Arabidopsis thaliana: one gene and its partners. The protein of the gene in region 3 interacts with the protein of the main gene of each other region in a pairwise test. Each region holds a gene or a part of one and is shown on either strand. Other genes may lie near its edges. The genes, in order: CNGC18, CAT6, TMT2 and ABCG10.

What was found.
Region 1: the proteins of TMT2 (region 3) and CNGC18 interact in a protein complementation assay, tested with the Arabidopsis thaliana proteins (one large-scale study listed by BioGRID).
Region 2: the proteins of TMT2 (region 3) and CAT6 interact in a protein complementation assay, tested with the Arabidopsis thaliana proteins (one large-scale study listed by BioGRID).
Region 4: the proteins of TMT2 (region 3) and ABCG10 interact in a protein complementation assay, tested with the Arabidopsis thaliana proteins (one large-scale study listed by BioGRID).

What each region holds. Positions count from the first base shown.
Region 1 is NC_003076.8:4,806,697-4,814,027, forward strand, and holds CNGC18 (cyclic nucleotide-gated channel 18), read right to left. Parts: upstream 4,398-7,331; 5' UTR 4,202-4,397; coding exon 3,737-4,201; intron 3,576-3,736; coding exon 3,363-3,575; intron 3,279-3,362; coding exon 2,968-3,278; intron 2,892-2,967; coding exon 2,780-2,891; intron 2,677-2,779; coding exon 2,440-2,676; intron 2,355-2,439; coding exon 1,572-2,354; 3' UTR 1,395-1,571; downstream 1-1,394. Other genes in the region: AT5G14860 (UDP-Glycosyltransferase superfamily protein), read left to right, coding at 1-138, 342-680, 872-1,063. UniProt on the Arabidopsis thaliana protein: Cyclic nucleotide-gated ion channel required for directional pollen tube growth into the transmitting tract. Acts as a Ca(2+)-permeable divalent cation-selective channel inhibited by either lanthanum or gadolinium.
Region 2 is NC_003076.8:1,375,552-1,383,827, reverse strand, and holds CAT6 (cationic amino acid transporter 6), read right to left. Parts: upstream 5,208-8,276; 5' UTR 4,711-5,207; coding exon 4,308-4,710; exon of another isoform or gene 4,192-4,307; coding exon 3,623-4,191; intron 3,511-3,622; coding exon 3,279-3,510; intron 2,558-3,278; coding exon of another isoform or gene 2,526-2,557; exon of another isoform or gene 2,072-2,525; coding exon 1,524-2,071; 3' UTR 1,350-1,523; downstream 1-1,349. UniProt on the Arabidopsis thaliana protein: Permease involved in the transport of the cationic neutral or acidic amino acids.
Region 3 is NC_003075.7:16,794,471-16,802,802, forward strand, and holds TMT2 (tonoplast monosaccharide transporter2), read right to left. Parts: upstream 5,342-8,332; 5' UTR 4,602-5,341; coding exon 4,523-4,601; intron 4,375-4,522; coding exon 3,808-4,374; intron 3,726-3,807; coding exon 2,785-3,725; intron 2,689-2,784; coding exon 2,501-2,688; intron 2,407-2,500; coding exon 1,962-2,406; 3' UTR 1,754-1,961; coding exon of another isoform or gene 1,544-1,753; 3' UTR 1,478-1,543; coding exon of another isoform or gene 1,403-1,477; 3' UTR 1,313-1,402; downstream 1-1,312. Other genes in the region: AT4G35295 (homoserine kinase, putative / HSK), read left to right, coding at 863-913, 1,403-1,477, 1,544-1,753; CPK5 (calmodulin-domain protein kinase 5), read left to right, coding at 7,966-8,332. UniProt on the Arabidopsis thaliana protein: Sugar proton-coupled antiporter which contributes to vacuolar sugar import (e.g. monosaccharides including glucose, sucrose and fructose), particularly during stress responses (e.g. in response to cold).
Region 4 is NC_003070.9:19,860,520-19,866,631, reverse strand, and holds ABCG10 (ABC-2 type transporter family protein), read right to left. Parts: upstream 3,812-6,112; 5' UTR 3,755-3,811; coding exon 1,982-3,754; downstream 1-1,981. Other genes in the region: DJ1B (Class I glutamine amidotransferase-like superfamily protein), read left to right, coding at 72-254, 695-775, 913-1,113, 1,200-1,340, 1,493-1,690; AT1G53265 (uncharacterized protein), read left to right, coding at 5,157-5,534.

The DNA of each region.
Region 1 (7,331 bases), on a different chromosome or scaffold from region 3:
GATAAACCGGATTGGATTCATTGGTTGGACCGGAAACTAGAGGAAAGATGTCCGGTTATGTATGTGGCGTTTGGAACGCAGGCTGAGATATCGAACGAGCAGCTCAAGGAAATAGCATTAGGGTTGGAAGATTCCAAGGTACGTTAAAGAATGGATTAATGCCAACTTAAAACCTCATATTAATACAGTTGACCAATCACTTTTATTATTCCACCAAATTCCATGCATGTCCTTTTATTTGTTTTTGGTATCAACCCATAAAACATTTTTTAGTCTATATATATATATATAAAGAAAAGTATTGTTTTGTGAATTTACGTGGTCTTGATTGTTTTAAAAAGGTCAATTTCTTGTGGGTCACGAGAAAGGACTTGGAAGAAGTAACTGGAGGATTAGGGTTCGAAAAGAGAGTGAAAGAGCATGGGATGATTGTGAGAGATTGGGTAGACCAATGGGAGATATTGTCACATAAAAGTGTCAAAGGGTTTTTGAGTCATTGTGGATGGAACTCGGCGCAAGAGAGTATTTGCGCTGGGGTTCCACTACTCGCTTGGCCAATGATGGCAGAGCAGCCACTCAATGCGAAGTTGGTAGTGGAGGAGCTAAAGATCGGAGTAAGAATCGAAACAGAAGATGTAAGTGTGAAAGGATTCGTGACAAGAGAAGAACTTAGTCGAAAGGTACCGTATATATACCCTTTCATGTTTCCATCTTTTGTTTTAATTGGTGTCATGCATATATTAGAATAAAATGTTTTGAATATGGTAATCATGGCTTTGCTTTTTGACTAACAAATTAACAAGAAGGAAGCCTCTTTTTCCGTTTGACTGTAGAGTACCCCTTGATTGTATTTATTATTTGTACTATTTAGGTTAAACAATTGATGGAGGGAGAGATGGGGAAGACAACGATGAAGAATGTAAAAGAGTATGCGAAAATGGCGAAAAAAGCTATGGCTCAAGGGACTGGTTCGTCTTGGAAGAGTTTGGATTCGCTTCTGGAAGAGCTTTGTAAGAGTAGAGAGCCAGACGGTGTTAATAAGTTGTCAAGTTCTGATGCTTAGAGAGATTAAGGATTGGATAACAAAACGGCTTCGTACCTAATTTTAGTCATTAAATATGTTAGGTTTGTTGAAAAGTTGGTCCATTCTTCTCAATTGGATATGAATGACTAATTTGGAGTTCTAATTCTTGGTTTTGGTCTTATAGTTTCAAAAAATTTCAATTGCATTCAGTGGTTGCTTTATGAGATTTTTGCTATCTTTGAGGTTAATATTGGCTGGTCAATCCGAAGAAGCTATCAACACCTTAGTGTTCTTCTGAAAGACTTAAAAATGAGTTTGTATGCAAAAGTAGTATCTACTATGAGAAGAAATCAGACTATATAACATTGAGACAGTTTAAGAACAATGTATTTTTACTCTACACTCGTTTTCTATATCTAACATCCTCAAACCGAAACGAAAAGAAAAGAAAAATTACAAGTTGAAATAATTAAGGGAGTTTCCTAACTATTTACCATCTAAAACCAAACAGTTCACACAAAAGTTTTTTGCCCATAATGACTACACTTTAAACGTCTTCTTTATCTATAGAGAAATCAGGCTCATCTGGTTTGAATAGTTGAGGCATCTTCAAACTGGTGGAAGATCCATCTTTCTTACCAGTACTACTACTTGAAGCCTTTTGATTTGTTCCTCTTCTCGTGTTCGCCGCAAATTTAGATGCTAAGATCGTTGCTCCCAGATTTGTGTTGTCCATTGATCCGCCTTCCTCGTCACTTCCATAGTAATACTCTCTAGTTTCTTCGTCTTCTTCATTGTAACCTGTTTCATCCGGGTAATAGTATCCGCTACTCTCGTGAAGGCTGAGCTCTTTCGCAAGCTTTCTTCGCTTGTATCTTCTCCATGCAGATTGGACAAAACATGCTCCCCATGCTCTCCATTGATGTGAGTAGTACCTGAAAGCGTGTTGAAGCTTTTTGCTTTGAAGACGTTTGAACTGATGAGCAACAAACTTAAGATCCTCTGCGCTTAATGCAAAGGCTTCTACTTCAGAGAGGGCACGGACGCTTCGTGTTGAAGACGGAAGATTGAGTGTAGAGTTTGGCATTAAGGCCCATGTAAGAAGTTCTTCCCCACAGAAATCGCCAGGTCGTAGAGTAGTGGAGTTGAAGAAACCAGATCTTCCTCCATTTGTTGTTGAGCTCTCTATTTGTCCTCGGATCACAAATAGCATCTCATTCACCGGATCACCTTCACGGAATATGTATGTCCCGGCCGTGCTTAAAGATGAGACAAGGCATCCGCATATAGCATCAAGAAGTTGATCATCCATTTGAGAGAAGAACGGGACCTGCACTTACCACAACAATGTGACTTCTGAATTGAAAAACAATCAAATCCATAACAGTTTTTGATGACTGAGTTGATGTATGTACCCGGCGAACAAGGGAGAGACAAAGATGACGTTGGATTTCACGGCGTAAATCTGTAGGTAATGAATGGAGGATTGATTCTTCATCGACACCTCTGGTTGCAAGCCATTTGTATTGGACAAATCTTCGGACACGTTCTTGAAGCTCTGGAGGTAGTTGACGATGTCTCATCCATTCTTCAGTGTCTCTTCTCTTAACTCTCCATTCCTCAACTCTTACTGACATCGATTGCAGAGAAGACTTTCCACCAAATTAAAAATCATGAAGTCTATTGTTAGAAAGACAAAAAAATGTCTCTGTATTGAAAAGTTTTGCAGAGTGATGCATAAGCTCTGAATCTTACTTGCATGTTACCAATCAGGAGTGTGAAGAGAATCAACCCAAAAATACAAATTGTTATACAGAACAAGGTCTCGCCAAGGTATACACTTGTGGTTATATTCTGTCCATAAGAACTGTGAAACAAAACCTTTATTAAAACCAAAGGAGGACAATTTAAGCAGATACTGGTTAGATAAAAGGTTGTCATACCTTAGATTTCTTAAACCCCACCAAAGACAATACAAGTACTTGGACACAAAATCTGTTGTAGCAACTTGAGTGGTAAAGGCTTCAGCAAACATTCCGAATTTGAAATTGGTAGTGCTGCTTGTAGCATCACAATGAGAAAGGACCTGAGTAACGTTCTGCCAATACTGGCGCTCTGGTTGTTCTAAACTCTTGCAATCCAAGAAGCTAGGAAGACAATCCAAAACTCTCAAAGCGTTGTCTTTCTTGCATACGTTGGACCAGCACGAAAACTGCCGCCCGATTGATGACAGATACCACATTGCTCCTAACACCTGCCCACAAATAGAGATTCTTAGCAACTTAAAACTGAAGAAACCTAAAGATTTGAAAAAACACACAAGATAAAGAAAACTTACGTGACTAGCAAGGATGTACAATAGGAGGTTGTATGCAGCTCCTGCCCAAGCAGTCTTGGCGATAAACCCGGTTGTTTTGATAATCCTTTGGTTGAGTGGGAATATGATGAATGATCTTGGAATGTATTGAACAAGAACGATAAGTGCGAGAGTGCTATTGGCATGATTAGCAGTTCCATTTGTGGCCGCTGGAATTACTAGCCAAATAACAAGCTGAGATCAAAAGATAGTCAGAAACAAAGCATGAGGCTCCCAAAATATCTCTGTTCTTTAATCTTCTAGCTACCGCCTAACGATTTTTGAACATTGATCTTAGCTAATCGTAATCCATATCATTGCTTTCACATTCAAAATAAGAGCAAAATCTTAAGAACCTGAGGAAGGGGAAGCATGGCGGCGACATCAATGAGGAAATCTGTCTTCAAGTATCTCATAGCAATCTCTCTAGAATCCATAACAAGCTCACCGCGACCAAAAACACGAGAACTCCTCGCGACGAACGCAGTTCTGAATTTCATGAAAATGTGCAAGAGGTGGAAGATATCGGCGACTGTACGGAAGAAAGTGACAGTAGCGGCGAGGCTGATGTCGATGGAGAGACACGCCGGACCACCGACGTAAGGGACGTAGAAATAGAAAGGATCGAGGAAGAGAGCGAGGATTGAGGTAATGAGAAAGACGTGGTTCCAATAGGTGACGATGTTGCTGTCCGGGTCCAGGATCTGATGCCGCCATAGGACGCTGAATTGGCTACCGTCAGATCCTCGATTTGAGGCGGCGGTGGAGGCGGAGGTTATGGTCTCCGGGAGGAGGCAGCGGAGAGACCGGATTTTATTCATCTTCCATGGCGGATTCCGGTGTTAAATCGGATTCCGCATTAACACAGAGAGAGATTGAGATTGATGGACAGAGAGGCTAGGTGGTTGCGTCGTGTGATTTTTTGTTTTTTTGGGTTTTTGCATTTTGTTTTTGATGATTATGGAAGAAGGAGAGGATTTCTCGCGGGAAAACTGAGAGAAGGGCCATGGAAATAGGGGGAAGGGTAGTTTTTGAAAATATGATGGGAGAATGAGGGTATTTACGGAATGTTATAGTTGCGGGTCTCGTTTGTTTATGCTGTTTTTGTGTTCTCAAAACAGCACACGTTTTGCATCTCAAAACTTCAATCGACACAATATCTACTGTTCTTAGTTGTTGGACCCACCGGCCCAATAGTTATAGATCGGCCCAATAGTTATTTTTTTCTACTTTTTTTCTATGAAAATCAAAGGGATATATACTATATATGCTTTAGGATTTTAAAATTACACATTATAATGTATACAATTGCTATGATCATTTCTATTGATAAACTAATAATGTTTTTAGTAGTTTTAACTTAAAGTCCGGTTTAATATTGTTTAGTTCAATTGTTCAAAGAATAAAAAAAAAAATTATAATTAATTCGTAAAACCATGATAAGATTAGTTAAAATATCTAATTCGTTATGAGGTTCATTAGAATTTATTTAAGTGAATTATTGAAGTTTTATGAGCTACATTTATTATATTTTGTCAACACATTAAACCCGTAATTCAATTATACTGTCTTTTGTAGTATTTCCGTTTTTGACATCAGTTTAACAAATTGTCTTACATAATTCATTTGTTGTTGTTATGTACTATTAAAAGTATATAGAAGCACGCGTACCAAACATTCTGTGACAATATGTGGTAGTGGGAAGATAGTGTACATGCTTGTTGACACCATCCATAAGATAGTGTACCTATAAAATAACAAAAAGGGAATAGAAATCCTTAGAAACAATTATGCGAATATAAAAGGGATAATAAGAAGTGAGAATAATAAAATGAATACTGAAATTAAAAATTACGTCACGGAAAAATGATGTTTATCCACACAAAAAGAACAACAACTTCCATCATATCATATAGAGGGACATACTAACTTTTCCACTTCCAAAAAATCACACTTATGCGTAATTGTTTTCTCTAACAATAATGACGTATTTTAGTCCTTCAAATTTTAGTACTCCATCATTTTCCGATTAGACACAAAGTAGTAATTTCAATATAAAAAATTAATAACAAGCTTTTATAAATGATTATGATAACTTATACTAACATATGTGACAATATTGTTTTCTCTATGCTTGTTAAACGTAATTAAGAAACAATGATGTTAATTACTCCAACTAATTCATGGATCTAGAAATACGATGTTGGTTAAACATTATTATCGACTAATTTATTACTTCGTTAATGGCTGCTATTAAGTATGACCACGTGTGGCAGATTTGAGATGTTTAGCGATCTTTAAATATAGAATCCGACGGGATCCAATTCTCCTCTTTTTTTTTTATTCCACTTTGCCACTGTGATTATATAATAAGTATGATTAATTAAGAGATTTACATTCTATTGATTTACTTTATTATTTTATTCATGTGGAGTAGACTATACGACAACTACTTTATCGTTACTTTTTAATTTTATTTTTTAGTGAAAATTTGCTAGTCAAGTTTAGAAAATTCAAAATAGCATTTCACTTTTATATGCACGATTGATTTCGTTGCTTATATTAAGATAAGGAAAACAAATGTTACTCTTCCTAAAAAAATTGTTCTTTGAGAATACAATTTACGTGTTCCTCTTTTCAATAAAGTCGCTGGTGTTTATGAAACACACATTAGAAAGAAAAAAAAAAGATTTAAAACATTTATGAAGATGGCAAAGGTTCCCACTTCCCATTGTAGGAAGCAACAAATTTCCTTTTTGTTTGATTAATATAAATGCTTACGGGACGCAAGAAGAAATTTCGTGATCGTGAACATATTAATCATTTGGGACCCTAATGAAAAAGACTAATAAAATCTTTTGTTTTATCGAATAAAAAGTAGATTGTAGTTTTGTGAAGTTTAAAGCACTCGCTTATCAATTGTTTTATCTAAAGAAATAAGATAAGCTGCTTTCAAAGTGGTAAGAGTTAGGTCTTGATAAAAAAAAAGTCTTGAAGGTGGTGCCACACCAAAATCCTTGCACCTTTCTATTACATACACACGTGTATAGAGATTTTTAGTCATATCTTTGAATAAATAATCTTTGGATATATGTATAGTGAATAATTTGTGGGTTTGAGAGTTGGAGAGGATGAACTACAGGTCACGTAATATACCCTAAAATAAACCATCACGAAAGAATAGAATAGAGAATCTCTTGGTACTATCAAACAAACAATAAAAAAAAAAAAAAGTAAAAGTGACGAAGACACCAATCTATTCATTTCCCACCCATCTCCCATTAATATTTCTTTCATCTCTTATTATTTTTTACATGCATATTTTTCTATCTCTAACCTTTTGTTTTTGGTTCACTCAAAATTTGTGGTACTTTGATCCACATATAATATTTGCATATGTTAGTACGGTCTTATATAATAGCCATGTGATAGTAAACCCTTTCACAACATACAGTAAATATACCTAGTATATATAGTTTCAACGGTTCAAGATTCAAAATATCGTCTTAAACAGCGACCAGATATTCTTGAACCTCCAAAACGATCTAATTTTAATAAATTGGTGAATGAAATCGATTTATTAGTTTAAGCTTTTAAAATCGGTTTTGATCAATCAAATCGGCCTAGTGTGAAAAAACAGAAATTTTTCTATTTTCTTTTTTTTTTTTTTTTTTTTTTTGCAGCGAATCTATAATACATGTAAAATTAACTAGTGTGAAAAAATGTTACAAAGATCTTACGTGAATTTCGACACAATCACCTATATATAGTCAAAAATGAATTTTGATATAATAATACTAATATACTTAACCATATAAAAAGATTTGCACATTCTTCCATAACAAAGAAGGCCCCACTAATTTTCTTAAGGAGTATGTTATTTTGCAGTTATATTTGTGGCAGTTATCTTAATCATTCTTTCATATGTTTTGTCTGTGTGTTTCCTCTCTC
Region 2 (8,276 bases), on a different chromosome or scaffold from region 3:
TCCCGTGTTCTATATAATTTATTTAATCAAGGATTAAGCTCTAGTTTTCTTCATTTACTCTAGTGCATTTCAGAAATTGATAGCCGATAATTATAATGCAATAATAATGATCCTAAATCCAAGATATTTTGTTAGTTTAGACAGGTTGTACCAAAAAAAAAAAAAAATGAAGAAAATAGGTTCTTTCATGGCCGTTGTTAAACAAAATACATGTTGTCTTTTTGTAAACCTCAAAAGTCAAAATTTTGGTAGTTAATCCAATGTAGAATCCAATATTAAGGTTTGTAATTAGGATAAAGGAAAGTTTTAAAAAGAAGCACTGATCACGCTTAGAGTTGAACCCTTTTACAGAGGGAACTCATTACTTTGAGTAAAGTGGGGTTTCTAGAAAGACATCAAATCTTTGTATTGCCAATAGAATCACATCTTCTTATTGGCAGAATATTTCTTATAAACAAATCCATAAATAATGTAAAAATAAAGCTTCCAACAATGTGACGATCTTGAAAATATTGGGCTTTTCTTTGGACCCCATCCTTACGAATATAGTTACCAAAAAGAGAGAGAATACAAGCAAGTGTCGTCTCCCACTTAAACACAGTTCATTTAGATTCGAGATTTATATCATCCACTTCAAAATATATAAAAATGTAATTATGTATGTTATCCTAACTAAATTACTCACATAATTATTGCCTATTGGTAGTGTTCACTAAAAGAATAATTGGACTGATTATACTAATTGAGATCACATATTCGATCCTACCTTAGACATTCATCTTTATGAAATCAATAAGATAAACTAAATCATACTTGATAAGAAATAAAAGTAGAAAAATGAAGACATCTTTAATAAACTGAAACTTTTTGTGCATGGTTCTTTGTTTACGAAAGTTCAATAGTACTATTGATATATAGAATATATAAATGCAAATAATAAAAGAATGTATAAATATCCTCAAGGAATTTGAAACAAGTGATTGTGAACAAAAAAATGAAAAAGAAAAGGTGATCTTGTTGGATATATATGAAGTTGCGGATAATGTCACGTATGTGTGTCCCGTGAGAAAGATGGGGACCCATCGTTTTCAATTGTACGCCATCTCGTATTTATGAGAGACCTATGTCTATCTAACGTTTCCATTTATTAATGTTATCTATCACATGTATATTTCATACGTGATCTTGCCTTATAGGTTTGACAAAGATTTGATCTTTCAATCTCAAAAACTTGTAACCTAATAGTTTGTACTGTATTTAAAAATATTGTGTGTTGTGAATTGTACACAACGGTAAAACAAAAATATCATCAGTTTCTCTATTCTCTCAACAGATTGACTTGCATATGACCGATTTCATTTTGGTCGTTCGTTAAACCAAAATACATATTCTTTTTTTTCCTAAAGTTGTATTTAATATTTTCTCATTAATATTTCAAACCCCCTCATGTAGAAAAAAAATTAGAGAGTTTAATTACATTTTGGTTCATGATGCTTTAGAAAACTAAACTAAATAAATACTTTTCACACTTCAATTAGCTCTTTCATGACTTGTCCATCTTTCACACCAAAAGATCCATTCGCTTCAGCATCAGAACTCGCATGAACGCCATAAAACAAATACACGAGCACGATCAAACCGGAGAAGAATCCAAACCGGACGTAAGAGGGTGCGTCCAACGAACCAAGCAAAAAAATGTTCAAGAATATCGACACGCACGGGGTCCACGGCATGAACGGGACTCCCCACAACTCAGGTTTCCTAGCCTGGGGAACCACGCACTGAAAGCTCAGCACGATGGCTATAGCCACCACCGCACTGGCACCGAGCATGAAAGCTTTAGGCTTACCTTCCGGCACAAGTTTCCAGATGAGGGTGAAGACGAGAGAGGTTATGGAGAATAGTGTGAGGAAGCAGAGTGTGGGCCACGGCTTGGTGGGTCCAACCGGGACGTAACGTCTGAAGATGAGAGCGTTTGCGACCATGTAGAAGACAAATAGTGTTCCAATGGATACGAGGTTTAGGAGGACGTTTAGGTCGGTGAAAAGCGCAAGAGCCGCCGTGAAAATGCCTGATAAGGGATAAAATATACGAACGTTAATAAGATTGGTCAATGGTCATATTCTCTATAACTGTAGATGATTCGACTAGTGAAAAAAGTCCAAATTTGAAATGAATGGTAGTGGGAGGATTTGTTCCTTTATTTTGTCTTTTTGTCAATGCTATTGATGGATATAGCAAATGTGAGTTAGTGGGTGCTAAAATTAGCAAGGATAAGGTTGAACGATGATGACCCCCTTTATAATGATCCATTTTGTGACAAAGGCATGAGAGTAACTTAATGAGGAAAACAATGCTTGTTACAAAGATTATGCATATAAATATGGCTCTAAACGTTAGTATATGTTTTCCAATCTTCTATGTATTTTATCAAAGATGGTCATTATTCTAAATCCTGGTACCTAACAACTCACGAGTTGCATAGCTCAGCCAGATGTTCCGGAAATTACGAAAAGTTGGAGTTGTCAAAATATCAGCCGACTAGGCTTAGTAGTATCTTCACAAAAAAAATGAAATAAAAAAATGATTGATTAACTACTAGTCGTCCAATGGATGACTAATAATCCAACTATCGTATTTTTATTTAAAAAAAAGTGGAATATGTATTTTTAACACTAAGGAGACACAAAAAGAACCAAAGAGACCCACCAAATCCATCACAATCAAGACCGTTGAAAAGATTGAATCTTTGAACAATCAAAAAACACGAAACTTTTCACAGAGCAGAAAAGAAAACCAGTGGTGAACAACGACATCTAGCAATCGGACTCAGATGCTCTCTCTGTGACTCTTGTCTTAAACACCATACAATGATACAAATCACATTGAACCATGTCCCTACATTGAGATATACTTACACAACGTACATAGCCCTTGTCACGATCGAAATCGATAGCAGAAGATTTTTAAAATGGTAACGTCCAAAAGCTTTTGATCTTTAAAATATATTGAAATGGACACGTATATATAATGAAATCACGTGGATCGTATGATTTAGAGAAAACGTTAAAAGTTCAAATCAATAAAAAGATCATGGAAACAACCGAAACGGTTCTCATTGGGGTCCCCTTTTAACCTAACTACTACTCCTCTATCTCACTTTCTGGACCAAAATTTATTTTTAACTATATATGATTTGATTATATTTCATCATTGTTTGTTTGACAGTAATTAAATAAATGTTTTTTTGATGAATGAATGAAGACAAAGAAACGTACCAAGAAAAGTGGAGGCGTTGACTGGCGTAGATGTTTTGGGATGAATCTTAGCGAACCAAAAGGGGACCACTCTGGACCGTCCGATGACACACATGTAGCGAGCCTGACCTAACATTGCCACCAAAAGTGATGTTAATATCCCAAAGCTTGCTCCTATCCCCACCACTTTCGTCACCCATTCCCAGCCGTTCGATCCTCTGAACGCCGCGGAAAACGGCGCCTCCGGATCTATCTGCGTTACAACAACACATGCCCCGCCGTTTTCAGCTTTAGACTCAGACTACGTGCCGTCTTTATGAAAACGGAAATATACAATAAGAAAATAATAAATTTGAAGTACGGACCAGATCGTATGGCAGAAGCATTGACATAGAGACTGCCATGAGACAGTAAAGAACGGTGACGATTGCGACGGAGCCGGAAACACCGACGGGGATATCTTTGACCGGATTTTCAACTTCTTCCGCCATGGTTGAAACGGCGTCGTATCCTATGTAGCTTAAGTAAACCATGGCAGCTCCGTTGAAAACTCCCGCCGCGCCGAACGGAAAAAATCCCGAGGGGTGCTCTGGATTCGCCGGTGAGGATAGATTCTTTGAATCTCCTTTTATGAATCCCATCACGATCACGAAGAATATGAATGCGATGTGAAATGCAGTCATTATCATGTTCACTTTGGAACTCTCTCTTGTACTGCAACAGATGATGACTGTGATTACGAGGACGACGAGAACTGCGACTGGATCAATCTCGTTGAATCCTTTCGGTAAACCGGAGACGACGAATCGCCACTTGGAAGTTGAGATCCCGAAAGCTGTTCCTAAATAAGCGGTGAAGCTTCTCGAAACGGCCGCGTTTGACATTACGTAATCCATTACAAGATTTGCTCCGGTGAAAAATGCTGGAAATTCACCTGAACGGAAATGTAACAGAAAAGAAATCAGTTACGGTTTTTGATTTTGAAATTAAAATTTTCAGAAAACCGTGAACAGATCGGAGGAGTAGTGATGATTTTCGCGGGAGACTAACCGAATGTGATACGGATGTAGCTGAAGGCACCGCCGGCGACCGGGAGATGGACGGCGAATTCGGTGTAACAGAAAGCGGAGAGGAGAGCGCAGAGCCCGGCGATGGCGTAAGAGACGACAATTGAAGGACCGGCGTCGAGACGACTAGCACGGCCGGTGGTGACAAAGACACCGGCGCCGACCATTCCCCCGATTCCGAGTCCAATGAGATCGTACCACCGGAGAGTACGGCGCATCTGTTCGCCGGAGACGGCGCGGACGCGACTCATCTCGTCGGAAGAGGTGGAGACGGAAATAGCGCGGCGGGATAAGCGAGAAGGCGTCGCGGAAAGAGAGTTGAGGTAGACGCGGAGACTGGAGAAAGAAGAGTGACCACCATTGTTGCTGCTGCTTTGGACCTCCATTTTCTCACCGGCCAGATTCGGGTCGGGTCGGTTTGTGTGAGAATTTTGTTGAATTTGACAAGAGTTGGTTTTATATTAGAGATTAGGAAAAGTGAAAAAGAGAAGGATAGGGACAAAGATGTAATTATGACGATACTTAAGGGCATTTAAATGTTATAAGTATTGTTATTAACAACAAGATTGTTCCCTAATTCTTATATTCACATTAATCACATAAGCATCATCAGCTCAAAAGCTTACTAAACCCAAGATGCTTTATCTCTTTGGTCCAATTACAGTTACATTTATATATACTAATTATGCTAACGCTTTTATTGATTCATATACAAATCATAAACTAGTTTGGTAGTATATAGTATGTATTCACATCTAGCTAAGCTTGTAAACTATTTTTGTTGACCATAAACCACTAAAATTGGTATTTTATTAAATATCATTAGACTGCTGAGTTGTAACAGAGTGGCATTTCCTATGGTTATCTTATTTTGTTTTGTTTTTTAAAAAATAGGAAAAAAATGAATTACGGTTTTTATTGAAGAATATTCTTTTTTTTTTACTACTTATCATTAATTGTTAATAACACTCTTTATTGTTTAAATTTATAGATTTGTACTCAATTATTTATATTTAAAAAAAATATCTCAACACTATAACACCATATAAACATTCTAATAAGATATGTTTTTAAACAACATTATTAGTATATTTCAAAATGGTCAAAATATTTCGAACCTGAGAAATGAACTTTTTAATCATAAATATGTCATTGGAGAATCATTCCCACATTTTTCCTTGAAATGAGGGTCTAAAATTGATGTTATTATAGACAAAATTTTGTAATTGCGTTCCTTGTAATTGATAGGGAATTAGTACTAATTAATGAAATTAATACCATAATTGTGTCTATGACTATGATCGGTTGTTTGAAACGTAACGACTCTCTGCTTCAAAAGCTCTTCCTTACTTAGTTCCCGAGGTTATGAAACCGTCACGGACGTTAAAAAGAAAAAACTAAACAAACGGCGTTAACTTCCGTATATCATAAGACACGGTAACGACGTTACCTCTAACGGCTATGTGTGGTTTAAGATTCACACGTGTGGCAAAGAAGGTGACACGTGGGATGTTGTTTTGTTTTCAATGGATAAGCACACAGGTTTAAAGCGAAGCGTGACCAGAATTTGAGGAAATGAGTTTTTGTAATTAGTTGGTTCTTTTCGACAATCTTCTCATTTTTTATAGTTGGCAACTTGGCATTACTAGGAAAATATTATCGCATATTTGCAGCTAATTAAGGTCTTCTTCAACTGATTTTGTCTCTGCATTTAAATGTTTTAAAACGAGGACACGAATAGTTTGGTACTTAGAGGAATAAATAACCGCAAATCTTGTGTTGGTACAGTTTGTAACTTAGTAATTTGTTTTAGTGTTAGTGCCGTGTTATTTGATAGTATGTGTGAGTGGTAATATGCATGAGTGAGTTCTTGAAAAAAAAGATGAGTGATCTGTTCTCTGTGATAAGGGCAACGCAACATGTTTGCAGGTTGTATCATGATCCTGATGAGTATTCTCCATAGAGAAATCGGCATTAGACTCGACGCTTTAAGATGAAGAAGAAGCAATGGATTGACTGATTTTATTTTCATGGGTCGAACTCGGAGCCTTTGATGCTGTTCACTGAAATCCAAAATCCAAAATCACCAACACCACCAACTAACCGCATGTGTATATGTAATCCAAAATCAACACTATTTTTACCACACCAAAACTCACTATAAGGTTAATTCGAATAGAACTCATCTAACCATCTATGAAACTTGATTAAAAAGTGTTGTAGAATGATTTGTGTATGTTTATGTAAAAGTTCTATCGCTCCCAATCATACCCGTAACTGGATACACGTTGCAATTGATCTTTTTATTTTTTGGTTGGCCGCGCACTGCATTGAATTAACACTACCTTATCCAAACAAATAGTATTAAATATCTACTTCAATCGAACACTCTTAAGCCTCTCTTTGTTCACAATAATGATAATTAGATTAGTGTCAGCAACGTTGACACATATTCGTATCTACAACACACATACGCATACATTTATATATAAATTAATTTCGACAAGAATAAATTATGACTTGTATGGTCACCAATAAGTCTCACATTTTTGGGTACACAAAAGAGTAATAATGAAATAAATAAAAAAGATAATGTGGAGTGGTTTATACAGTGAGTGGGATGGTCAAATCTGAATTTTAGATAAGATGCAAAATTCAGGTTGCCTCAATCCGACCACGTCTCACACGCCCTGTGCCAGACCTGCCCATCTCTGTTTTCCCTATAGTATTTTTTTCTAATTGAAAAATACAAAAATTCCATTCTCCATATATTTGAAGTTATATAAAATCCGTGGCAAAATATGTGATTTGACTTTTGAGTGCCAATCCGATATGTGAGCCGTTTTGTAAACACAATTTTTGGTTTCAGTAAAAGCAAGATATTAGGATCTGATTTCATATATAAATTTTTGAAGATACCTTATTATATCACCCAAAAAAAAAGCTGTGTATTCAAGAAAGTGTAGTATTTTAAAAATAAATATGTAAAATGTTCATGAGTGAGACTCCCTACTAGTTTAAGATTGTCAAATTCACCTAGTTAAAGTTGGATCACTTATTTATCCATAAATAGATAACTTAAGAGATTGTCAAATTCTATTTAAAGAGTCTATCTAAAAGGCCCATTCTCTTTTTTACATAAACCAAAACCGCTCATTAACTATTTTGATCAGTCCAGTCCAATAGTTTGTGTTTTCCTTGTTTTTGGGCTACTAGCCCATACACATTTCCAAAAAAAAAAAAAAAACTTTTTTTTCCCCCTATTTTACTACATTTTTGTTAATTTAATGTTTGATTCAAAATTTACCTCACCAATTTATCCCCTCTTCTAATTTCCTTTCTATGTATTTTTTTCAATTCAGAAATTTCATACCTTCTTTTTATCATCCAATAATCGCCCCATATTTTTCATACTCACAGTTATTTTTTTTGATTTTTCTGTATTTATTTTCCCATATTTTTGAAGATAATATCAAAACTTGAAACATATGGTAGCAGATAAAAAGCTTAAAATAGCAAGAGCTTAGTAGATTTTATTTGGAAATTGGAAAGCCAGGTGACGATTAAACAAGAGGCCACGTCATGTAGATGCACCAGTCCGATGCCAAAAAGTATCCTCGCAAAACAATTGGCAGAAGACACGTGGCTCAATACTGGTGAAGAGTCGGTCTTGGCGTCTTGGTCGACTTCGTAACGTATCCACTTCATATTTGCAATCCAATTAATTTAGTAAAAAGTGTGTAAACCATTTTTAAAAACAAGTAAAGTAAACTACGTGTGAAGAAAGAAACAAGTACGGCTAAAAAAATACTAAAAAAATTAGTTGAAGTTGCTTTGTTTTCTTTTGTTGAAGGTCGTTGAGAACATAGTTTAATAAATACAATGAAACTCTTCCGATAAGATAAGACAAATTTCGGTGTTATCTTTCTCTACAGGAGTATTTAATAAAAAG
Region 3 (8,332 bases):
ACAACCGAGACTGGATCCAAAATCCGCTTAGTTTCAAATATCTTTATGTAAATTTAGAATAAAAACAAAATAAAAAATAAAAAAAAACTTTAAAAGTCCGAAAAAATTGACTTAAAAACTTGGATACTAAAATCTTCATAAAAAATAAGAAAACAAGTTGAATGTTTGGAATCGCTAACGACCGAGGTTGGATCCAAAATCCGGTTAGTTTCATATATTTTTATGTAAATTTATAATTAAAAAAAAAAACCGGAAAAATTGACTTAAAAACTTGGATACTAAAATCTACATAAAAAAAATGAAAACAAGTTGAATATTTGGAATCGCTAACGACCGAGGCTGGATCCAAAATCCGGTTAGTTTCATATATCTTTATGTAAATTTAGTATCAAAACAAAACAAAACAAAAAAACGTTTAAAACTTTTAAAAATCCGAATAAAAAACTTGGATAATATATCTACATAAAAATGATATGAAAACAAGTTGAATATTTGGAATCGCTAACGATCAAGACTGTATCCAAAATCCAGTTAGTTTTCATATCATCGTTATGCAAATTAAAAATCCGTGAGAAAATCGATTTTTGGGAGGAAAAAAAAAAAGTAAATAAGAAGGGATAGGAAATGAACCTCAATTTGTTGATGGGCTTCTGAGTATTATATGGGCTGAAAATGAGATTTGCAGTCCAAGCCTCTTTCGTCCACCGCCATGTCCGTCTTCCCCGTGTGCGTGTCCGTGACTGATAAACCAAAAGCCTCCGATCATCCGATGAATCATGAACCGGAGAAACCCAAAAGTCGCCGATCATCCGATGAATCATGAACCGGATAAACCCAAAAGCCTCCGATCATCCGATGAATCATGAACCAGAAAACGCAAAATCTTCCGATGAACCATTGCATTGAAGACAGGGTAAACAAAATCCGGAATCCTTTGAATTCAAACAAAAGTAGAAAACTTCCGACGACGGAGACTGAGAGAAGATATCGTAACGCCATTAACGAGAGACAAAGGAGGAAGAAGAAGAATCAGAGTTGAATTAGAAGCGAAGGAAACAGGAATCGAAGAAGAGAATGGTGAAAATCAGAGCAATTGCGTATGTAATTTCATCTCTCTCTCTCTCACTTAAGAATTTTCTATCTCTGAGAAGGGTTCCTCAATTTATAGACACATCGTTTGTGTTTGGGATTCAAAGTTTCCTTTTTTCTTAACGGCTCTTTGTTGTTTCCTTTTTCTTTGTTATTTCCTTTTCTAAAACAAATTTTGGATTGTTTCCTTTTTCCACTTAAAAAGCTTAGAGCAATGAGAGTCTCGCACGTGCCCTCATTAGCCAAGATTCGCAAGAAAACAATGGATGATATATTTGGCATTAGCTTTGAAACGTGTAGCGACTGATTGTAGCCAAACCATAGAGCAGCTTGTGTGATTGCAGAAACAGAGCTCGAGGCTACAAATCACAGAGCTCGAGGCTACAAGGTTTAGAGTTTGAGCAATGAAAGGAGAAGAAGCGAGGAAAGACGCTGAATTGCTCAAGAATTATAGGTGAATAAATCACTTTCTGCTTTGAATGGGAAAGAAGCTGGAGCATTTGGTCGCACCATAACTGCGGTTGCAGTGATTGACACGGCGGAGAAAGGTTACGAGATCGGAGAGAAAATGGTCCAAGTGTTCTTGAAGATCGGAAACTTGAAATCTACTGCTTCTGTGAAGAAACTTGATAAAGTCGGAGCTAGACTTATCGAAAGTATGTAATTGAAAGTTTACGGATTTGTTCTATGGATTCTGCAAATGGTAAATGGTAATAAAGAGATTCGTAACTGAAAGTTTGAAACTTTTTTTTCTCCCCACATGAAGAAGACGAAACAGAGAGAGATGATTATTACTGCACAAAGTAAAAAGACAACAACAAATCCACATGAATATTACACAAACTTTTTATCTCAACAAGTCTTTCAGTTTCTCACTCGTTTTTAGCAGCTTCAGCTTGTCTAGCTCCAACAGAAAAGAACTCTGTGATGACTTCAAGTGGCATGCCTTTAGTTTCCGGGACTTTAATGAACACAAAGACCCATGAAATGCAACATACGATTGCGTACATTCCAAACACACCAGCTAGTCCAATGGATTTGAGCAGCACGGGGAGACTGTAAGTGACGATTATGTCACAGATCCAGAAGGTGAGTGCGCAGATGGCGATGCAGATTCCGCGGACTCGAGTTGGAAAAATCTCTGAACAGAGGATGTTTGGAGCAGGACCGAAACCCATCACGAAGAAGCAGAAGTAGAGCACAACGCTTACGGTTGATAAGACCGCGTGCACAATGCTGTTCATGTGAACAAGATTTGAGATTACTAAAACCAATAGAGATGCTATCAGGATTGGTATCGTGGTGAGAAGCAAGGTCCTGCAAATATAAAATAAAAGACATTTCATAACGCATTTTAGCTTGTTTCGTTTATGTGTATTGTAAGAACAAAGGAAATTTAAGTTTTAATCACCTTCGACCAGAAAGATCCATGAGCCTCATTGCAACAGCTATTGCAGGTAACATCACAAAGGTTGTCAATGCACTTATAAGTAAGGATGCTGAGGAAGAACTAATCCCCATGTTCGATAGTAGGATCCCGACACCCGCCTGCTCAAGGATTTGCGGTGTGTAGTAAAGAACTCCGTTGATGCCTGAGAACTGCATTTCCAAGAGGAAGCAGGAAAACATAGAATTAGCATAAACCGCATTATTTCTTCTGTGATTCACTAATTTTGATGTGGCTATCTAGACTACCTGCTGAAGTATTTGAAGTCCAACTCCTACGACTAATGCACGCTTGACTCCAGGATCATGAAGATCATGCCAAATTGACCCTTTAGTTGTTTCGGATGGATGTACCATAGCAGGACCAATTGTATGTTCTTTGAGAAGGTCTTTGGAATAAAGAGCTGGTTGGCTAACCAAAGCAGACGCTTGTACAAAATCTGCCTCACCGGTTCCATCACCACCAGGCAATGAAACAATTGAGCCACGTCGAGATCCTGGGAAACCTTCTTGATGCAAGTATATCCGTTTAAACCCACCTTCTTTCTGTCCCGATTCATCTTCTCTTTCCGTCCATTTCCATGCCACTTGCCATCCACCTCCAATCCCCATACTACCCGCTCCTTCCCCTTGAGCTCCCTGCACTTGACTTCCATGTCTGAAGGTAGAAAGAGTTCCATGAGCAGTGTGAGGCATGTCTTTCTCCATGCTTGTCGTTTGACGTGAGATCAACGGAGAATGAAGATCATCTTCAGAATCATCTCCATGGTCGGATGGATAATCCTCACCTTCTCCAACAAGATTCTCTTCATCCCAATCTTCATGTCTTGGTTGATTCCCTCCAACACTGAACATACTCCCAAAATGTGGGAACAAGGCACTCCTCATGCTTCCAGTGTCCGGCATCTTCTCGTGAACGCTCCCAAACAGTGTGACAAGAGGATCAATCAATGAGCCTTGCCTCCTGCTCATTGTACTTCCATGGCGAGACAAAACACTCATAGTGCTTCCTCCTTTGACTGGCCTAGCAACCCAACTCAGCCCTTCTTCTGCACCATATAACTTAATTTGATCCTTATCCACAGCTATATCATGATCATCAGTAACTTCATCCGCGGGACCAATTATATATTCCTCTATGGTTGTTTCACCTCCAATTCCAAGACCCTCAACCAACAAAGCCATCTCACCTATACATTGCCACATAAGAACATTCAATAGAAAAGATTGGTTTCATTGAAAGAATTAGAGTCAGAACGATTTAAGACTAACCAGACACATCTTCGCGACCACGCAGTCTCTGAAGAACCCGCTTTGCTTCAAGCATTCGACCTTTGCTCACGAGCCACCTTGGGGACTCGGGCAAGAAGAAGACCGTGAGGAAGAAAAAGACAAGGGAAGGGATGAAAAGGACACCAAGCATCAATCTCCAGCTAGGTGATGGCATCAACGACATTCCGAAAACCATACAGTAAGATAAGAACATCCCTCCAGAGCCAGTGAACTGCGGTAGCGTATTCAACAGTCCCCTAATCTCAGGTGGTGCAGTCTCAGATATATAAATAGGAACAAGTGTGACCACAAGACCAACCCCAAATCCATCTAACAACCTTCCTAAGAGCAACACATAAACATTCGGAGACCATAGCATTACTAGAGAACCAACAAAGTAGAGAATTGAGGACAATATTAGCATGGGACGGCGACCAAGCCAATCAGCTACCCCTCCAGAGCATGTTGTAATCAGAGTAGCACCAATAAGTGACATCGCCACAATTAGACCTTCCACTGATGGATTACTCTCCAAATTAAACTCCTTTTTTATGTACAACACAGCTCCTGCAGAGTACCCAAAGAAAACTTAAAATCCATCACACAAGCAAAAGAGATAAGCTAAAAGATCTGTGAATTGTATCCATAAAAATCCTGACTTTATCGATCCTAAATTTCATAAACAGAATTATGGATACAGAAGATAATCAATCACCTGCAATAGTTGCGTTATCCCATCCTTGTAACAAGTTGCCAACAGCAGCAGCAATAGCAACAAGCACAGCTCCACTCATAATTCCGTCTTCTATCTTTTATCAAGAAATCTGAAGAGAATTTCGCAAAAACAGAGTCACTGATCAACGACGATGAGTGAGTGAAACAAAATCCACCTGAAAATTCGAAAATCAGACACAATCACTTGGTGAGCTAAAAGATAAAACAGAGAGAGATAACACCAAAAAGCATGACCTAAGACTATAACAAACCCTTTAGTGACGTAAAAGACACATACCCAAAGGAGTTCTAGAAAAAAAAAACAGAGGTGAAACCTCAGATGTCAAAATCAAAACTTTGAATAAAATTTGACTACTTTTTATCTCTACCAAGTAGAAGAGAAAGTAAGAAAGTACGAGAGAATATGATATACAGAGAGAGAGATGAAAACTAGGGTTAGCAACTTGGAATTGGAGGCAGAAGAAGCCACTATCAGTGAGCCGCTGCTTCAATGGCGTCACTAAGCAATCATAAAGCATTGTTTACCCTTTTGGTTTAAATCAAAAAAAAAGAAAACGAAAGCTAGATTTCGAAGTAACCGTGAGAATATAAAAATGAATACTTTTTTTTTTTGTGCGGAAGGACAGTGAACAGAGAGAGAAGCCTATGGGATTAGTGACACCTGCCGTTTTGCTCCTGTCCTCTCAAACCACGTATGTGTATTGTGTGTGTATGTCTCTCTTCTCTTTCTCGTGTTTGCGTACAGAATTTTTTCAGAGAATTAAGTACATCTTTAAATTTTGTTATCTTTTCGATTTGGGTCCACGAGTTTATTCACGGGCCTATACAATCAAATTAATATCTCGAAATGTTTCTGCTTTTTACCATCTTCGCTTTCATGAAGTAAAGGTAAAAACGGATATTAATTTGGGATTTTGTATGTAAAAAGATGAGTTTAATGTCGGCATAATTGGGGAAAAATATTTGGTGTTTTTTTGTAAATATGAAACAAATATAGGATTGGTTTTTGAAATCTTAGATTCATTGGGACTTATACGAGAAACTAGAGATAAATATCTGAGTTTTCTGAAAACAAAGTTATTGGTAAAGTAAAGTTTAGTTTGTTTACATCCGGAAAGCATCTTCAAATCATTTCAACTTTACATAATTAATCAAGAAAGAAAGAAACAATGCAATAATGGAGAATAATGTCCAAAGTCCAAATACAATGAGACACTTTAACTTTAGTTAATTGTGAGTCGTATTCGTATGTTACAATATAATGAATAGTTTTTTCTTCTTCACTTTACTATTCTTCTTACAGATTAAAAGGGAAGAAAAAGAATGTATAAAAAATCATATTGAGTTTTTTTTTTTTTTAGAACCGAGTACCAAATTCGATATACAGTCTCTAATTCTAAATGAATAACATTAACAAATTTTGATCAACGAAAAACAAACCATGTGACTACGACAACTACTGGTTTTCTGAAAATAAATATCTATCGTCCGTATATCAAAACTTGATATGTATAAAACAAAAGATATATTGTTAAACGTCGTTGTTAAAGTTCGTATATTTGACCGCAAAGATTACCATAAATGTATTTAGAACATAGGAAAAACATCTAATTGGTTAATAAATATTTATGACTCCATATTTCTTAGATATTTTCCGGAAATGAACGTAGTACAAGCGTTATGTTTGGAACTACAGTACACACCACAGAATATAAACACGCAATAGAATCTTTTTTCATAGACTTTGAAAGTTATGGCATGTGAATGCGAATATATAAAGATTCTTGTCCACATCCTCAATTAATCATCATCATTGCTTCTTAAAAATTCCGTAGAATGAGGAGAAACGTACCATTTATGTTTACTGGTAGTAGTGATTACTGATTTAAGATATTATTCTTGGGAAAGAAACATCTAGTAACAACATTTTGAAAAGAAAAAAATCAGAATGATTATTACGGAAAAATGAAAAATTCAATAACGTTATGTTTGTCACCAAACTAATGTTAAAACGAATTCAAACCAAGTTGGAGAGATGTTACAGGACAGTTTTGCTAAAAAAAATCAGCCAGCACATTGATACAAAACCCAAAATATAATTTTGCTTGTGTACGTGGAGGTGTCAAATTTGATTCAGTCTTGTGAAAATGTCAATTTGATAGCGTTTATAATTAAAATTTTCGGTTCTTTTTTTTATCTGGAATTGAAATGTGTAATATGTTATCATTTTAGGCCTTATTGTAAGGTCTAAAGTCTAAAACAATACAATAATACGGCCTTTGGGGTGTCTGAATTTTGTATTTGAACATTGGGCTGGATCAGTGAATAAACAAGGCCCAAAAGTAAAACTTATTAGGGATTATGTGCGGGGCTCCAGAAAGTTGCAATATATGGAAAAGTCAATCTCTTACGTCATAATAGTCAGTGACGCCATAATACTGTTTAAATATTTGGCATATCTTTATCTTAAGAAAAAATCTCAAGAGATTACTATTCTTTCTGATAGGAGATTGAATGAACGGTTGCTTCTTTTACAAGTAGATCACATGTATTTAAATTAGTCTTCTCATACGACGAGAATAAAACCATCGTGCTTAATACTTAAATTTTTTTACAATTAACGGTAACTAGTAAAACCAGAAATGCATTTTGATTTTGTACAAACCAACATTCTAATTTTAGTTTTTTTTTTCAATTACAATTTAAACGATAAACAAAAGAGAAACTGGTTTAAATTTAATAATGCAAAAGCAGAAGAAAGAAGGTGAGAGGAAACAGCGGAGAGAGACAGAGTCAGAGAGGTGTAGAAGTAGTAGCTGGTGAGCACTAATAAAAGACCTTTCTTCGCTCAATCGCCGCCGTAAAATAAAACACCATCACATTCTCATCCAACGAATCTAATCTATCCGACCAAACCAAAGCTCTTAAAAAATCTATTTTTATTCTTACTTCAATCTCTGAAATAAATAAACATAAAATATTGTAGCTTTCCTTTGTTGTTCGACTTTTCTCTTTTGTCTCCCCTAAATTTAGTTTCTCCTTTTAAGTCAGATTCCTTCCTAATCCCATTCTTTCAGTCTTCTCTTTCGCCCTTCTGAGTTCAACAACTGGTAACTAGATCCTCTTTTTGCTTTACTTCATTCTCTGTTTTGTTATTCCTTTAAAAGATCCATCGAAACTTCTTAGCTCTTTGTCTTTTTTTTGGTTATTTTGACTCTTTGATCTGATGTGGGTTTTGCGTCTTTCTTTACTTGTGGTATTGTTAAAGTTCGTTACTTTGTTCTCGTTTAGCTTCTTGTATTTGGTCTAATTTAAGTCTTTTGACTTTTGACAGTGTTATCTCTATGAACAGTTCCTTTGATGAAGAACACAAAGTGAAAGTTGCTGTCTTTATAACCAGGATTTGGTAATTCCCATTGTTTCATGGGCAATTCTTGCCGTGGATCTTTCAAGGACAAACTCGACGAAGGCGATAACAATAAGCCTGAAGATTACTCTAAAACCTCTACCACCAACTTGTCTTCTAATTCCGACCATTCACCGAACGCTGCAGACATCATTGCTCAAGAATTCTCCAAAGACAACAACAGCAACAACAACAGCAAAGATCCAGCTCTTGTTATTCCTTTAAGAGAACCAATCATGAGGCGTAACCCAGACAATCAAGCTTACTATGTTCTTGGTCATAAGACACCAAACATTCGTGATATCTATACCCTTAGCCGCAAGCTAGGTCAAGGTCAATTTGGAACGACTTATCTATGTACAGAGATTGCCTCAGGCGTTGACT
Region 4 (6,112 bases), on a different chromosome or scaffold from region 3:
TCAGTATCCAAGAAGTTTTCTTTTCTTTTGAGTTTGTATTTTGGTGTATAAATCACATACGTTGCTTGCAGGCTACATGTTACCCGGTTTTTATGGAGAAACTAGCGGCTTGTGCGACAGCTGTTGAGTCAAGAGTGGAAATTGATGGGAAGATAGTGACCAGTAGAGGGCCTGGAACTACCATGGAATTCTCTGTCACGCTTGTGGAGCAACTTCTTGGGAAAGAGAAAGCTGTTGAAGTCTCTGGCCCCTTGGTATGTCTTATCCCTGACTCTTCTATCAACCTTAATTTGGTCTCCAAATAATCGACAGATCTTAGAGGCCAGTTTCTGTTGAGAAGATGGCTCTCCGCAAAGAAGGATATATTTAGTAGCTGATTCGAGGGGAGCACTTATTTGATTTAACACTCTTTAAAGCACCCTAGTATTGTTAGTTCATGTAAAAAAATACAAATACGTGTTTTCGACCTCACTAATACTGTGATTTCCTTGAAGCCTAGGCCTGTGGCTGAATTTTTCAGCATTATTTCCCCTGTCCACTGATCAGTGACTGTTCTTGTGAGATTACAGACAGTTGAAAGCTATATAGGACACTGAAAAATTTAGGTTTCCACAAAGAAACAACCATTCCTTGGTAGCATAGGCTTTATTCCATGGTAACCTCTTAGTCTCTATTCTTCCCCTTTGCATATCAGGTGATGCGTCCCAACCCTGGTGATGAGTATACTATTACTGAGCTTAACCAAGTCAGCTGGTCATTCGAGGGTACCCCACAGGTAGCTTTCAATTGCCTGTCTGGCAAAATGAAAAGAAAAAAAAGACTGGCAAAACTTTTCACACTTGCTTTACTGAGCTCATGCGTCTTTCTTAATCAATCTTCCGTACACTGAGAGATCATGTTTTTCCTTTTCAGATTCTTGTACCCATTGCAGATGGCTCGGAGGAAATGGAAGCTGTTGCTATCATTGATGTCCTGAAGCGGGCAAAAGCAAATGTTGTCGTAGCTGCGCTTGGTAACAGTTTGGAAGTGGTAGCATCTCGGAAAGTCAAGCTGGTGGCAGATGTGCTTCTCGACGAGGCTGAAAAGAATTCGTACGATCTGATTGTGTTGCCTGTGAGTGCTAACTTCTTCAAATTACTAAAGTTTATAGTGTCAAGCAAGTTGAGGCCAACATGATGAACTTCTCTTTTTATTATCAGGGTGGTCTCGGCGGTGCTGAAGCATTTGCAAGTTCGGAGAAGCTAGTGAATATGTTAAAGAAGCAGGCGGAATCAAACAAACCATATGGAGCAATTTGTGCCTCTCCTGCTCTGGTGTTTGAGCCACATGGTTTACTCAAGGTACGAGAGTAATCACAATAGCACACACATTTGCTTAGATGTGTAGGATCATTACTATATATCCGATGGCATGGAGTATTCTGTTATCAAACCGTTATTTTTGCACTTAAAACTAAGGGAAGGGTCACAATTTTTAATGGATTTTTTTACAGGGTAAGAAGGCAACAGCGTTTCCAGCAATGTGCAGCAAACTGACGGACCAGAGTCACATCGAGCATCGAGTCTTGGTGGACGGCAATCTCATAACGAGCAGGGGTCCAGGAACCTCATTGGAGTTTGCACTTGCAATTGTAGAGAAGTTTTACGGGCGCGAGAAAGGACTTCAGCTCTCAAAGGCAACACTTGTGTAAACTCATGAGTATCTTAGGTAAGAGTGACTTTAATAAGAAAAAGGCTTTAGTATCAAACGATCAATGAGTGTACCGTTGTTGTGGTGAGCTTTGTACTAAGTGTGATGCTTAAAACTGTCTTATAAATAAACGAGTTTACTCTGTTTTTATCAGAAAGTTTTTTTGTTACTTTACATTGCGAATTTTAGAATATAAGAAAGTGCTGAACAAAAAGAAAGAATATGAGAAAGTAAAATTTCTTATAAAATTACAAAACAAATTGAATTATATCTGCAGATCATTGTTATTAACCTAGCTTCTTGTTCTGTAACATCTGTACCATAAGATGAAGAATCCAAGGACTCTGTACCCGACGATGAAACTTGCCATGATACCAAGATTGCTCCATTTCTGAGACTCTTTGAGGTCTTGTTGTTTTAAGAACACGTCTCCTCGATACTCGTTGATCATCAGGCATTCGAATGGATACTTGAAGAGGCTGAGATAATGCATGAACTCCCAGTAAACGGGGATCCTGTCCTTTGCAATGAAATACCCGGAGAAGAGGAAGAAAGATCCCATGAGACCTGAGATTACTGATGTCCCCATTATGAAGTTTGGGACAAGAGCACTGAAACATGCGACAAAAGAGTTTGACATCAGAAGAACAATCCATATCACCAATGAGAAGTAGAGGAAGCCGTCTAGCTCTCTTCTGAGACCGACCAGCCAATAAACCGGCGTAGCAAAGAGCATGCTTATGATCAACAAGAAGGGAATGAATATGAGAGTATCTGCTAAAACGTAAGACAAAACTCTGTAAGCCCTTCTCGATGTCTCTCTCATTAGGATTCTCCTGTCTTGCAAGAAAATTGGAAGTCCCTCTGTTGTGGAAGATAGCAGGAAAGTGAGGATAAAGGCGAAGAACCCGGTTCGCAAGACTTTCGCTTCTTTCTTTTGATTTCCTACGTTCAAGTAAATCGACCCCAGTATAAGACCGGCAATGGAAGCTTGTAAGGCTCTGGTTGTGAACAATTGCTTGGTTCTGAAGATGTTCTTGCAAGATCTTTGCCCGAGTATCTGCACTTCCTCTAACACTGAGTTGCTGTGAGAATCAGATTGATGAAGCTCTCCTCCTGCACTAATATAGCAACTCTTCCATGTTTTGCTATGACCATAACATGAGATTTCTCTGCAACTCTGGGTTCTGATCGGTTCAAGACTCCCTGCAATATCAATTGCATACTCCAAGACATTTACCCGCCTAGGAATCTGGTGACCGGAGAACTTAATCTTCTGATGAAGGCTATAAACTGATCCGTTTTGAACAACCATCCCGTTAGAGAGCAACACTATCCGGTCTATCTGCTCGAGTATGCGAAAACCAGGCTGGTGAATCGTCAGAACAATGGTTTTACCTTGTTTAATCGTCATATCTTTGAGAAGCGTCACAACTTGAAGAGCGGACGCAGAATCCAAACCAGAGGTTGGCTCATCGATCAATATAACATTTGGATCATGAACAAGTTCAACTCCAATAGAAACCCTTCTTCTCTCTCCTCCAGAGATTCCAGATCTTGATCCTTGACCGATCCTTGAATCCGCAACATGTTCTAGACCAAGCTCTTGAATCAGCCTCTTCACCTTTGCAGCCGCGTCTTTCCTCTTTGTCTTCAGCCTCAAGAGTGCGCTGTACGTCAGTGTTTCTTGCACCGTAAGAAACGGAAACAGAGCATCTTCTTGTGGCACAAACCCTGAAACCCTCCTGTACTCAGGACCATCCATAGGCCTACCGTTGACAAGCACTTGCCCTGAAACTTTCCCATGAGAAACTTTTCCGGCTAGAATCTCCAGCAACGTGGTTTTCCCTGCTCCGCTTGGACCCGCGATCGCAGTGATCTCCGCGGATCTTGCATCACAAGAAACATCCTTTAAGATAACCTTTTCCTCCTTCTCACTCAACAAACCACATAAATTAGAAAACTTTGGAGTGTTTCCGCCTATTCTATACGACAGATTCTTGGTTTCTAATCTATATGAGATTTCCCGGCCACCGGGAATAGGAGCTTTTACCGGCAATTCCATCTAAGAAAGAAAGAAGGAAAAAGAAAGCATCAAACTTTGAGAGATAGAGAAATCAACAAATTGAGCAAAGAGTGTGAGATTAAGTGAAGAATAAATGGTAGAGAAGATGAACTAACACACCAAACTTTAAGGAACCTCTCCTTTATTATTCAAACATTCAAAAGCTTCAAGACTTTATTAGCTTTCTCTTATTGCCTTCCATGAAAACCGAAAAGCACTTGACTATGACTAAATTAAACCAAAGATATTTATGATTCCAAGCTTAAAATGCTTAATTTGTTTTTCTTAATAAAGAATTTGTTCGTAAATAATATTGATACAGTTAGATAAATTTATATGAAATTAAACATTTGTTGTTTTTCTTGTATTTTTTAATTTCTAATGAAATTGGTTGACCAAAAAAAATATCTAAGAAATTAAGATATGTAGTTGGTTCTTTTTTTTTTTTTTTTTTAATTGGGTTTTGAAATTGTGAAGAGGTACAAGAAAAGCAAAAAAAGAATTAGTTAGAAAGAGATTTGGTTTCGTCTAGAGATTCTCAAATTCGGGTGAGCTGAAAAATTGACCGTGAAATGTTTGCCTTGTTGGTGAACTTGTTTTATCTAATTTATTAGTTTTTTCTAACAAAGAAAGAGAGGAAACCCAGTTTGGTTGTTATATATTACCTACAATATTTAATTACGTGTTTCGAACTCGCTTACGGAAATTCAGATGTTTAATTAACAAGGAATAATCACGTAAGAAACCTCACTAATTTAATTATTTTTGGATAATAATAATAAAAAGACGCATTATAAGATGTTGTCTAGGTGGGCATTCGGTTAGATGTGGCTGCAAAGGTGAAGGGGCTGATTCAAAGTTGTGACGAAAAAAATCGAATTTTGATTTGGGTTTGGAAAAAACACTTAAAGTTGTGACTAATAAACTTTAATTCGGTATAAAATTAAAAACAACTTGGACCAAACGTAAGCGGGTGACTGGAAAAACGATATTTTTATACCAGTACAATTTGCAAAGTATTGTTTTCTTATATAAAACATACTGTACAATGTTAATTCTTTACCCAAATTCATAAAAAAAAAAAAATTATATCCAAACTTTATAGGTCGCACGTATTTTAGGATCTGCAATAACAAATGTTAGTTAATACTAACATACGTCGACTCAAATGACCCATGTTTAATGAATTAGCATCATCTTCAATCAAACCATGTCGTTTTGATCACAATTTTTCTTTTTCTTTTTTAAACCTAAGATTCAAATCCAAAACTAAAAGTAAAAAATAATATAAAAACACGAAATGAAACAATCTCGACAATCCAAAGAGCAAACAAAATCTTCAAAGTTGCGAGAGAGAGTTTTTTTCTCTAGACCTAACAATGTGTATTAGCAGGTTTCTGCAATGGGTGTTGCCAATCTTCGTGTTATGCATTATGTGCATAAAGATAAGGCCTTCGCGTACTGGTCTTGTACATGTGTCTACGCACCTGAATCTCGGTATTGCTCTGAAGAGCACAAAAAGATGGCCTTAGCAGAACGGGAATATGAGCTACCACATAACTTTGCCAATGTCCATTTGCATACGAATATGGAGGATCTTGTCCTACCAAAGATTATAAGCTATTTGAGAGATCCTCAACTAGGTATCATTGAAATACCTAATCTACAATACATAGACGACGTTTTTAATGTCACTCCCACTGAGCAACCAGATATGTTCTCTACTAACCTCGACGAAAGAGAAGAATTCAACATATGGTTGTTTATGATGATTTCGTGACAAATGGGTTTCTCATGTCAATTGAAATAACAATGGGACGATTTTGAAAATAATGTAAAATAGTAATGATATGTACTACAATTTTTAGTTTTACATAATATCCTTGAAATTTGAAAGATCCATCTAAACCCATTTATGCTTGGGGTTTTTCCATTTTCACTAAAACCTCTCCATTTTTATCATCTTCCAATGGCGATTTCTCGTTCCATCCTTCACCGGCCAGCTAAATCCTTTTCCTCACTGTTCACTCGTTCCTTCTCTTCGTCATCTCCTCTCGCCAATTCCCCTACTGTTTCTCGATCTGCGTCTTCGTTGTTGAATCGTTCACGTTCTCTCGTTTCTGGATTCTCAGCGTTGGTCCGTGCCGGTGTATCTCTAGCTAGGTGTATGTCTACGCAGGTTACTTCCGCTTCGCTGAATGATCCGAGCCCTAACTGGTCGAATCGGCCACCAAAGGATACGATTTTGCTTGATGGTTGTGATTTCGAGCATTGGTTTGTTGTCATGGAAATCTCTCTAGAGACGAGATTATTGATTACTACATCAAAACCCTAGCTCAAGTTGTTGGCAGGTATATA